Linked DNA regions of Mus musculus. The protein of the gene in region 2 purifies or fractionates together with the protein of the main gene of each other region. This does not show direct contact. Links are inferred from orthologs where the notes say so. Each region holds a gene or a part of one and is shown on either strand. Other genes may lie near its edges.

Region 1 (4,253 bases), on a different chromosome or scaffold from region 2:
CTTTGAGACAGGGTTTTGCTGGCTGGCACTGAACTTTCTGAGTTCTGCAGCCTAGAATTTGTTCAGAATCTGCAACTCAACAAAAATTCCTTCATCACATAAAATATCAAAATTATGTGATATAGTTCCAAGCCTTGATGACAGATCTTCATCTAAACAAATGCACAAAGGGATATGAAAATAAATAGCAATTTTTTATTTGCAACATTCTCATAAAAAGTTTAAAATAAATTAATTTAGAGTTTGCTGTTAACTTTCACAAGTGAACTCTACACTCCTTACTTCCCAGTTCTCCTAAATGCTTTAGAAAGTTGTTTTCTAAGCAGAATGGCAGAGGCTGGGCAATCAAAGACTTAAGATGACAACTGGAATAATCCTTACACTGTATGTTTGTTTGTTAAAAGAGAGGGAATAAAAGTCTGAGATCAGAAGATACATTATCCTTTCGGCACACCTGACTCTATCTACTAGAGTGGGATCCTACCAGCCAAAGCCTAAAGTGTAATGAGGTCCTCCAGAAAATAAGCATCCGAGATCTTCAAGTGTATCTGTAAAGCTATTTTATAAATATTCAAAATCTTTAAATTTTGGAAAACAGTTTCAAATATTTGCAGAAATTGCTACTCACATGCCACACCTGCATTAAATCTGTTTTTAATTAGTGACAAGTTTGGATTCCAGTCTGTAAGACCATTCAACAATTCTGGTCTTGAGTTTAATAGAAATGAAAAACTATTACTCAAATCACCAGCAACGGTCATGTCATCAGCAGTTGTCTTTGCTTCTTTTGTGTAAGGTTTATACACATATTTGCAGAAAGCTATTTCTGGTAACTTCAGTGTGGCCAAGTGTTAATCCCAAAGATGGGAGAAGAAAAAACAGCAACCCAAATCATGGTCAAATTAATTAAAGCAAGCAATTAATTAAAGCTAGATTTTTTTCTGTTGTTAGTGTACACAGGCTGCCTCCCTCTTAACTCAGCCTGAAGAGCCCACTGTCCACTAACATCCAGAACAGTGCTTTCCTAACACTTTATATTCTTAACAGAGGAAACTCAAGCTTGAATTGAGAACAAAAATTAACTTCTCTGTCAGCATTGTCACTTGACATTTTTCAGACCTTTACAAAATAGAGATCTTATTGCCAAAATCAGATGAATTATTTGAAAACTAGTGATGACTGAAGAAAATGTATTCAAGTCATTTAATGGGCAAAGAAGTCCTAAAGTAAAATAATTCGTTAATGTTAGCAACACGGTAAAGTCTATAAAGAAATATTTAATTATTTTACTTGGTGCTAAATTTTAGTTAACCCTCTTTATTATCAAACATCTTTTATGTATATCAATGAAGAAAAGTAAATCAGATTGCCTTCAATGATAAAGCACTCAATAAGTTACCAATATTTGAACTGGATCACTGCACCTCCCCCTCATGAAATTAGCCCTTCAGAAGATGCAGCTGAAAGCAGATTTCTTTATGGGGATACTTGAGGGAAAGTAAATTAATATGAATAAATTATGATGTCAAAGAGTCGGGACAAGTGAACCAGGAAAATCAGCAGTTCAGAAGAAGCGTAATTCAGCGAAGCCCTCCAACAGTCACCTGCCTAGGCCAACTGCTGGCAGGTTGCCAGGTTAGACAATGGTGTATTGACTCCAGGATAAGGTGCAGTGGGGGGCGGAGGGGGGACGCCCCAGACTATTAAAAAGGAGCCAGTTACAGATCAACTTGTTAGGTACTGACACAGAGCAGGTATGCACTTAAACCCGGCTCTGATGAATTCCACGCAGTCCTGTGAGACATACTCCTGCCGTAATCCCACAACTACCTGCTAAATTCCAAAAGGCCATAAATAACCTCTAAATAACTCTCCCTACCTGCAAGAATCAAAGTGAGCCTAAGAGCTACACTAACCCTCTGAAGAAACCAAGAAAGGAAAAATATGCGCGTTCCCCTTGGGACCTTGACCCCAGGCACCGAGACTGACACCGCCCCTTGCCGCCCCTCTATCTTCTTTCTGTTCCTTCAGTGAGTGTGACCTTCGGTTCCTTATAGATTCAGGGAAGGCAAGCCACGAGCCACTGCTACCCTAACCCCAAGGTGCCTTTCTCAGTGGTGAGCTGCAGAGGGAGGATGCAGCTCCTCCCCAACCCACCCGCCACACAATTCCTGGGTGCAGACTCGATGTAGAAATGGGAATAGACCAAGGGAAGGTGACAGCCCCGCGTCGCTCAGGGTTAACGAGAAATCTTGCTCTGGGAGAAACGCGCGAGAAGCTCCCCCACCTAGCCCCTACCCAAATGAATGAACTGAGTAAAATGGGAAGGGGGGTCTGGTATGCGCAGTTCTTGCAATCCAGGAAGCAGAATAAGAGGTCGTCAGACGTAAGGCCTGGCCTCGCCGCCCTTTGCACTCCGATTCGTCATTTCCATCCTAGTCTCATATCATTTAACCCTTTAAGCTTTTAAGACACTGTCCTTCCTCCACCTATGCCAAATACCGACACCCCCCACTCCCCTTCTCTCGATCCCTTTCGGGCCAGGCCGCTAGCTTCTTCCTTCCCACGACCCTCGAAAAGTCCCTCAGCAGCCCCGACTCACACGTACCTGGAGATGCTCCTGAAAGCGAATGGGCAGAATCTGGGCCATGGCGCTGTCGGGGAGTATGGTCTCCTCCTGTCACTGGGGCTGCAGGGCAGTGCCTGCCCGGGCTCTCCAAGGGAGAGGAGGAGACGGGGAAGGGGAGGGGAGGCTGGGCTCAGAGGGATACTCTCCGGGGACGCAGGGAACTGGCAGGCAGACGAGAGAGCTTGGGTCGGGGGCGGAGGCTCCAGGGGCCGGGAGAGCCGCAATGGCGGAACCGGGAGCAGCGCAGACTCCGGAAACGGCTGAGCCCTGCGGAAGGATCCCGAGGCAGAACTCCGCCCAGTCTCCTCACGCCGTCCGCCTTATGTAGCCTTCCACAGACGCCGCGCCGCGGTCGGGCGTAGGGATTCAGGGACGCAGTGCGCGGAGCGCTCTTCGCTGATGCGGCTGCGGGGAAACAGAGGAACCGAGGGACTACTTTTTCTAGACTCATCACTTTCCCCAGGCTCCGGTTTCTCCCTTCTCCCCTCCCCCCTCCCACTTTTTTTTTTTTTTAACATTTTGCCACATCATGCGACTCGGGGCGAACTACGTCATTTCCGTAGGCGCTGTAAGACCCACCCACGCACTTCCCGGTGCACGTGATGCGGGTAGGGAAGGGTCGGTTGAAGGCTGCCAGAGTGGAGGGCGAGAGGCAAGATACTGGCCGCTGCTCCTGGGGAGGAGGTGGCGGTTGAGCCCCCTGCCGGCGTGGCGGCCTGGGCGTGAGGACACCGAGTGCCTGAGGAGAAGGCCGCGGCGTGGGTGCCGCGGTGACTAAGGGAAACGGCCCCGCCGCAGAGCTCCTCGGGCGGCTGGCTGCGGCGCGCCTCCCCCGCCTGGTTTCGCGCAGTGGGTGGTTGCTGACACCTCAGGGAGGGGGACCGTACTGAGCTGCAAGCTTCCTTGCCCTGACGCACGCCCTTCTGACGCCAGGAGAGCCGGATGGCTCCTCGAGATCCTCAGATAAACCATCTCAAAGGACAGGGAAGGCCATGGGAGAAGAATCTCCTGCTGGCCCCTGGAGAGCGCTTCCGCGGACATTTTGGTGGACTTAGATCAGCCTAGTGTAGAGATCAGTTTGGCCTTCGAGAACTGGAGGGTTCGGCCACAGGAAAAAGCTTAAAAGATGTAGATCAAAGGATGGCTAGGGAAAGAAACCTCAGGGGCTGTCTTGGAGCTGAGGGATTGACTGTTAGTCATACATGGTAGTAGGACCATTACCTGTAGTTACAGGGTGGGCGATGTAATAAGCCCTTCAAAACCGGAGCACCTTGCCTTCCTACAGCAGTAAGCTATCTGCAGCATTCATTAGCGATTAATAGCCGCCCCAGAGCTCTTGCTAAAGTGTAAGGTGTAATGTCTCACAATAGCACCAATATAAGGAAGATTTAGAGAGTTCATTTCCACATAGTTCGTCTTAATCCCCCTGAAAGTTCTTGAGGAAATTACTTTCAATGCCCCTTTCAACCTAAAGAACATAAGACAACCACTGGGTGTACAATAATTTTGCGTAAGCGGTTTTGCTTAGAGAAATCTGCTTAGTCATTTCAGTTGCGTTTAGTATTCCCCCCAAATACTGCCTTTCATATCTGGGCTGAGAGGAGAACCAGGCAAGTGAGAAGGC
Region 2 (3,827 bases):
AGTGAAGGCACTAAATAGGACTTAAGGTCATAATTTAGGGAAGTAATCCTACCGCCCCACCCTAATTTGGGGCTGCCACATACCAGGCATTGAGCTGCCTGGAGAAGGTAGAGATGGGATATAAGGCCTGGTTGAATCCCTTTGTAGGTGGAGCCTCTAGGATCTAACATATTCCGAAAATTGAACCCACATCCTCATGCTTGCGGGCAAGCACCCTACCTGACCAAGCAGACAATAATATCTTTCCAAACAAATCCAGCTCCCTAAGACATTTAAAAAGCAAAACAAAACCCAAAACACAAGGTCTCACTATCTAGACCAGGCTGGCCTTGAACTCAAGAGACCATCCCGTCTCTGCCCACAGAGCTGGGGTTAAGGAGGCACCGCCACCCAGCCTCTTTAAGGCAATCTCAGCTGAATTCTTGTTACCTTAGCAGCTTGTTTTTGTACCAATCACTACCATTTCTGTCCATAAGCAGTTGTTTAGAATTACTCAAGCGTGCATCTGTTAACTTGGTTCCCATCAAATTTCTTCCCTTTGAGCTGTATGTTTCTGAAGTACAAACTAACTTTTTTTTTCAAACAATGGTCCTTTGTAAATTCTTTTGTTTTATCTTTTTTCTTCCTTACTTCAACTCTAGCCCATCCTCCTGCCTCAAACTCCCATAGAGCTAGGACTACAAATGAGAGCCAGCTACATCTGGCATTGATTCTGGCTTTCAATCGATTTTTAAAGTTCTTCAAGGGGCCGCCTCTCCGTGTCCGTCCAGTCCCTCTATCCCCTCCACCTCCCGCAAAACCTGAGATACTGAACTTAAGCCTTCCATCTGCTAGGCAAGTATCCTACCCTGACCCTCGGTAACATTCCCAGACCATACTTCTTTCTATCCTACCAAGGGGCTCTACCTGTAAAATCTGACTTCGCGTGTTGTCAGTTCCGAATGTTCTCCATCTCATGGTTAACCACTTCTGATATAGCCCCCCCATTCAGCGATTCTCTCCTGCTTTATCTAAACCACCTATTAACCAACCTCACTCTGGAAATCTATGCTTTCTATGGTTGTTCCAGAATTCTTTGAAAGCCTGGGTGGGGGGTCTGGAGCAATGGTTCGACAATTAAGAGCCCTTGCTATTATTTCAGAGGACCTAAGCTTGATTCCCAGCAGTGCGATTAACTCCAGCCTAAGGAAATCCGATGCTATGTTCTGCATCCGCGGGCATACACTTACAGACACATTAAAAATTTTAAAACTCTGGGTGTTCCATCCTCTCCCCGCTCCACCTTCCTTCTCGAATGCTAAACTCGATGAAGGTGCGGTGAACTACTCCGCAGCGTCGAGAGACTGGATGGAGGCGACAAATGCCTGGCTTCTGAGTCTGTGGCGCCAAAGAGAGGAGCTTGCCATCGTGACGTCACAGAACTGTGACGCGCCCTGGAGCTCCGCCTCCTTACGACCTGCGCCGGGAATCCGGGCTGTCTGCGCCGTGGCGTCACAGGTCCAGGCAGGCGGGTTTTCCGTCGGCCCAATGGGAGCGGCGCGCCGGCCTCCCCTTTAAGGAATGTTGTGACCTGACGTCACCCAGGCGAGTTACCTCCCGCAGCCGCCACCGCCAGGCTCAGCGCGAGCCCCGCAGCCCTTGAGCTCGAGCCCCGGAGCCCCCGGCGCGCCGAACCGCAGACGCATCTCTGAGCCGCGCACCCCGGAGCCCCGGCTGCGCGCCCCGCCGGGCCCGCGCGATGCCCTCCGACCGGCCTTTCAAGCAGCGGCGCAGCTTCGGTGAGGCCCTGGGGGGCGAACTGCCATCGGGGATCGAGGGATGGGGGTGCCAGTCGACCCCGATTGCCGCAGGTGACGTCAGCCCCATGACGTCAGGCACCGGCCGGCCGGACCCCGGGTGGAGAGGCCGCAAGGCCTGGCAGGGTCGCCCGCCTCCCTACCGCGTCCCCCCGGTGGAGGGCTGCGGGGCCGACGGCCCCGGGGGCGGGCGCTGGGGCGGGGCGGGCCGGGAGCCGCCCCTCGGGGATCAGCGAGGCGGAGTCGCGGGAGGCCTCAGCACCGCTGGGCCTCACACAGAGCTCTGTCCGCAGCCGACCGCTGTAAGGAGGTGCAGCAGATCCGCGACCAGCACCCCAGTAAGATCCCGGTGAGTCTCTAGCACCCCCCAGCCACGCCCTGCCCTGCCAGGTCCCGCCCTTGGCTTACGAGTCCCCCGCCCACTCCACTCCAGGTGATCATCGAGCGCTACAAGGGTGAGAAGCAGCTGCCTGTCCTGGATAAGACCAAGTTTCTGGTCCCAGACCATGTTAACATGAGCGAGTTGGTCAAGATCATCCGGTGCGTGGGCAGCCTCCTACAGGCCTTGGGTGGGGCAGGGTCAGGTTCCACAAGAAGGGATGGAGTGGGGCGAGGGGACTGATTTGGGACACCGGGCCCCTGTTCTAGGAGGCTGGAAAAGACCAAGGTCGGGGTTGGGACGAGCTTCAGTAGAGGTGAGAGCCTCTGGCTGAGATGGACCGAAAGTGAAGGTTCAGTAACATTTTGGGAGGGTCACCTAGGCCTCCAGCAGGCAGCCTCCTCACCTGGCATGCCTGCCTGCCTCCACAGGCGCCGCCTGCAACTCAACCCCACGCAGGCCTTCTTCCTGCTGGTCAACCAGCACAGCATGGTGAGCGTCTCCACACCCATCGCTGACATCTATGAACAGGAGAAGGATGAAGACGGATTCCTCTACATGGTCTACGCCTCCCAAGAAACCTTCGGCTTCTGAGTCAAGAGGAGGGGAGGGGGGTGGCTGGGAGTTCTGGTCAGGTTCTCCCCAGGGAGGTCCTGGCTCCTAAACTAAGCTATTTCAGTCCCCAGTGGATTAGGCAGAGATGTGACACCCACTCCCCCCCCCAGGTAGGGGCCACCAGCCAGCCTACCACATCCTGGGTAGGTCCTGGGCCAGTCATGTTCGGGTTGCTCTTTTGGGTGCTGGCTGGGTTGGGAGTGGGTGGGGAGCAGCATCCCTGCTCTGTGGGGTTTGTCATTTTGTTAGGCCCTTGCCTGTCTGCCCATCTTGCCCCTCATCCACCTGAGGCTTTGCCTCCTGCCAGGACCTGCCCCACCCCTGAAAGGCTGGCTCCCCTTGTCCTGACTCGGTGTATGGATCTGTGGTCATTTCCTCTGCAGAAAGAATAAAGACTGCTCAGGCCTGCCTGGCCCTTTGCCTCCAGCTGCTTGTTTGGGAGCAGGGAGGGCTGCTAGGTGACTGTGTTCACACACAGAGACAGACGCGTGTTCCCAGAAACCCACTCCTTAGTACAGGATAGCACGTAGTATTAGGGGGCCAAGCTCACTCCACTCCAGGAATACATGTCATCAGAACAACAATGAAAAAAAAAAGATCCACACATTTATTAAGTAGTCACAACCTATAAAGCCCTGCTCACCGGCTGCTTCCTTTCTGTGCACAGTCACAAAGTGGGGGTCCAAGTGGGGTGCTCCTAGCTTCTCCCCATGGGCCTTGTTGCCAGCTATGAGTCCCCTTTGGTGCCAGAGATTTGTGACCCTGGACTTGAACTTCTTCTGCCTGAGGACGCGCCTGCTGGCAACTCTGGATGAGGGACCTGGCCCAGCTTCTGGCCCTTCCCCCTCTTGTCCATGCAGCGCTGTGCCAGCCAGGGCTACTTGAGCACAAGCATGGCCTCAGTGCCGTCCTTGGCAGTCAAGTAGAGGCCGTGTGTGAGGTAATACTCCCGCCGCAGGAAGGCATAGAAGTAGTCAGAGATGAGCAGGATCTGGCAAGGAAAGAGAGTGTGAGAAGCCACAAGGCACCTTACTGAA
Region 3 (3,644 bases), on a different chromosome or scaffold from region 2:
TCATCCCCAGCCCTGCCAAAAGGAAGGAGGGAAAAGAAGAAAAAGGGCTGGGGGTGTGACTCAGTTGGCAGAGCACTTGCCCCGCGTTCAGGAAGCCCTCATAAACCCAGCTGTCATCCCAGCGCTCTGGGGGTAGAGGGAGGAGAATCAGGAATTCAATATTTATCTTTGGCTGTATGGCAAGTTCAAGGCCAGCCTGGGATATAAGAGACCCTGTCTCAAGACAGACAAACAACCCCCCCACACACACACACACAAATTTAGGGCTTGGAGCAAGGGTAAGAAAATGAGAAAAAATTTTAATTTTGTATTTGTAGTGCTGGGAATAGAACCTAGAAATCTATGCTTGCTAGGTCAGCTGTCTACCCCAAGCTAACCCCGCCCATGCCTGAAAATGGAAATGTAAACAAATGTGCTAGGGGCTCTAATGTGTGTGGTCTGTGAATAGGGTGGCCCCTTCAAGGACTGTAGGATGCAGGGATGGACTGGACGCTGCTGGGCTAATGGGGCGTGTTCACCCATCTCTGATCATGTTGCTCAGAGAACCACCTGGGAGACCCAGTTAGACATTTGGAGTTGAACACCTGCCCAGATGTCACTTAGTGACCCTGGATGTCCTACCCCACATGTCTGTAGCAAATCTTGTGGTGTGAGGCAATGAATCCTGCTAGGGGTGAAGTGCACAGGTGCTGCAGCCCTAAGGGGTAAAGCCGTCTAGGCTAGAGGGAATTGCTGTTGCTGTCAGTCATAATTGATGACAGTGAACCTGGATTCTGATGACCCCTCACTTCTGGAGCCAGGCCTGGTGCTGCACATCCTTCATCTCTCCGCACTGGGGAGACTAAAGCAGGAGATCGCGGAGAGTTCAAGGCTAGCTTGAACTACATAGCAGGGTTCTATCTCAAAACAAACAAAAAACCAACCAAACAAAAACCTAAAAATAAATGTGCAAGCAGATGGAGGGCCGTGGTGTAAGGGTTGACCACGGGTGACCACGGGGTATTATGTCTTTTGCAGATATGAGCCAGAGCGGGACGAGTGGCATCTAGTCGCGCCAATGTTGACACGGAGGATTGGCGTGGGCGTGGCAGTGCTCAACCGCTTGCTGTATGCAGTGGGGGGCTTTGACGGGACTAACCGGCTTAACTCCGCAGAATGTTACTATCCAGAGAGGAATGAGTGGCGGATGATCACACCGATGAATACCATCCGGAGCGGGGCCGGTGAGTGGGGGGTGGAGTGAGGACAGCCCAGCCCAGCGAGGAAGCGAGGAAGCGTTTGCTTTACCCTCCTCCCTCTGTTACATGACTGAGGCTGCCCTCGAAGTCCTTATGTCGCTGAGGTTGACTTTGAACTCCTGATCCTCCTACTCCAGCTTCTCCAGTGGTGGAGGGAAGGGCAGTGGCTACTAAAGTCCCTTGTCCAGTGGCCCTGCCCCCACCCCCCACCCCAGACCAGGCTTACGGTGACTCCCACTGTGCGCTTTCCTTTAGGGGTCTGCGTGCTGCACAACTGTATCTATGCAGCAGGGGGCTACGATGGGCAGGACCAGTTGAACAGTGTGGAGCGCTACGACGTGGAGACAGAGACCTGGACTTTCGTAGCCCCCATGAGGCATCACCGTAGTGCGCTGGGGATTACTGTGCACCAGGGCAAGATCTACGTCCTCGGTGAGGCCCTTGGAGGCTGGATCAGGGTGAAAACCACACTTGAGTGTCCATATCTTTTCTTCTCCAAGTTTTGGTGCTGAGTATAAAAGCCAGAGAGTCCCGAATGCTTGGCAAGTGTCCTTTAATTGTGCCCCGCCCCACTGGGGGATTCTGGGCCGAAGCTCTACTACTAAGCCGCTCCCCCACCCACTCTTACAACACTTCCCACCCTGTACCCCACCTTCACTGGGAAGTTTAGGCAGGGGCTCTAGACTGAACCACATTCCACCTCCAACCTATCCATCGCAAACAGGGGGCTTCTTTTCCCTTCTGTTCTCTGCCGCCTTGCGTGGTAGGCTGGGCACTCTGAGGGGGTGACCATTCTCTTCATTCTCCCTGCAGGAGGCTATGATGGCCACACTTTTCTGGACAGTGTGGAATGCTATGACCCGGACAGTGATACCTGGAGTGAGGTGACCCGCATGACATCTGGCCGCAGCGGGGTGGGTGTGGCCGTCACCATGGAACCCTGTCGGAAGCAAATTGATCAACAAAACTGTACCTGCTGAAGCACTTGGAATACCTGAGCACTGACAACAGGACAGAAAAACAGTCTGTGTATCACTGCTTCTCTGTACTAAAGAAAAAAGAAGAAAACAAAGCATAAACAGAAAACACAGGGCCGAAGAGGCGGCAGAAGAAGTCATCCCTTCTTCCAGGAAGGGCGACTGGGATGCCTTGTAAAGGACCTTGTGGAAGACCAGAACTCAAATCCATGGGCCCATCTGTCATAGCCCTGGAGCGTCCAAGTCTGGGATGGGGTATGGGCGGGGCACCCTCACAGGTGAGAAGCCCTTGAACTCCCACCACCAGAAGGGGGGGGACAGGCAAAGCAGGAGATCACATGTTTTTTTCTTTGGTTCCTGCAACTCGGTGATCAATTCCAGTGGACAGGGGAAGAAGGGACAGCTGAGGCCAAGGGGCTGAGGCTCCCTCTGGAACTGGGGCCCAAGGGACAAGCCGGCACAGAGAAGCCTCTGGGCTCTGAGCCCTGAACAGTTATTTTGTTAAATAACCCTGTAAGTTTCCCATGGGAATAAAGAATGGAGTAGGCACACAGGTCTTCAGAGGGCGGTCGGAATCCCTCAGGGAGAGACAGCTCTTCTATTGAAATACACGCAGATCCTGATGGGGCTGGTATCTGAAACCCGTCTATTGTCTCTGCTTGCCATTGTACATTCTGCTCAGACAGGGCATCTTGCTTCTTGTGGGACACACAGTTGTCTGTCAGTTTCAGGGCATTAGAAGCCAATGACCTAACTTCTGTGCCTCCTAACTTCTCCTGGGGCCTCCTGTGTTTAGCTTTATTTTGAGGCAGGGACTCACGTCGTCCGGGATGGCCTTCAGTTCAGACCTTGAACTGACGCTGCCGCCTGTCCCAGCCTACCGAGTGCTGGGGCTACATCTGTATAGCGCAATGCCTGGTTCCTGCTTATTATTTTTGTACCCAAGCAGGAAAATAAAGGTTTCTGGGACATTGGGTGTGGCTCTGAATTAACCTGACATGTATGAGCCCTGGGTTCCATCCCTAGCACCTGTAAACTAGGCACGGTGGACCACACCTGTAATCCTAGCAGCAGGGGCAGAACCATGCTGGAGTTCATACATAACCAATGAAGGCCAGCCTGGCCAATAGAGACCTTGTCTCAGAGAGTAGTGGCCAGGCAGTGGTGGCGCATGCCTTTAATCTCTGCCCTTTGGAGGCAGAGGCAGGAGGATTTCTGCCAAGTTTGAGGCCAGTTTGGTCTTCAGAGTGAAATTCAGGATAGGCAGGGCTGTTGTTATACAGAGAAACTGTCTCCAAAAAAGCAAAGCAAAACAACAACAAAAACCATGTGCAACCAAGGCTGGGCCCTTGGGACTATTTTGAAAAGCACCAGAAGAAAGACTCAGGGTCATCCTGGGCTCTCTGTGGAGCTGGAAGCTATCCTGAGC

The links.
Region 1: the proteins of Map1lc3a (region 2) and Cltc purify together in Homo sapiens (affinity purification with mass spectrometry; 3 studies listed by BioGRID and IntAct, with this or other methods). This does not show direct contact. The link is inferred for Mus musculus from reciprocal best matches to the Homo sapiens genes MAP1LC3A and CLTC.
Region 3: the proteins of Map1lc3a (region 2) and Keap1 purify together in Homo sapiens (affinity purification with mass spectrometry; 3 studies listed by BioGRID and IntAct, with this or other methods). This does not show direct contact. The link is inferred for Mus musculus from reciprocal best matches to the Homo sapiens genes MAP1LC3A and KEAP1.

What each region holds. Positions count from the first base shown.
Region 1 is NC_000077.6:86,754,640-86,758,892, forward strand, and holds the start of Cltc (clathrin heavy chain 1), read right to left. Parts: upstream 2,929-4,253; 5' UTR 2,651-2,928; coding exon 2,609-2,650; intron 1-2,608. UniProt on the Homo sapiens protein: Clathrin is the major protein of the polyhedral coat of coated pits and vesicles. Two different adapter protein complexes link the clathrin lattice either to the plasma membrane or to the trans-Golgi network.
Region 2 is NC_000068.7:155,274,869-155,278,695, forward strand, and holds Map1lc3a (microtubule-associated proteins 1A/1B light chain 3A), read left to right. Parts: upstream 1-1,495; 5' UTR 1,496-1,738; coding exon 1,739-1,778; intron 1,779-2,089; coding exon 2,090-2,145; intron 2,146-2,229; coding exon 2,230-2,336; intron 2,337-2,606; coding exon 2,607-2,769; 3' UTR 2,770-3,205; downstream 3,206-3,827. Other genes in the region: Pigu (phosphatidylinositol glycan anchor biosynthesis class U protein precursor), read right to left, coding at 3,668-3,781. UniProt on the Homo sapiens protein: Ubiquitin-like modifier involved in formation of autophagosomal vacuoles (autophagosomes). While LC3s are involved in elongation of the phagophore membrane, the GABARAP/GATE-16 subfamily is essential for a later stage in autophagosome maturation.
Region 3 is NC_000075.6:21,229,276-21,232,919, reverse strand, and holds the end of Keap1 (kelch-like ECH-associated protein 1), read left to right. Parts: intron 1-1,017; coding exon 1,018-1,223; intron 1,224-1,493; coding exon 1,494-1,670; intron 1,671-2,051; coding exon 2,052-2,218; 3' UTR 2,219-3,190; downstream 3,191-3,644. UniProt on the Homo sapiens protein: Substrate-specific adapter of a BCR (BTB-CUL3-RBX1) E3 ubiquitin ligase complex that regulates the response to oxidative stress by targeting NFE2L2/NRF2 for ubiquitination.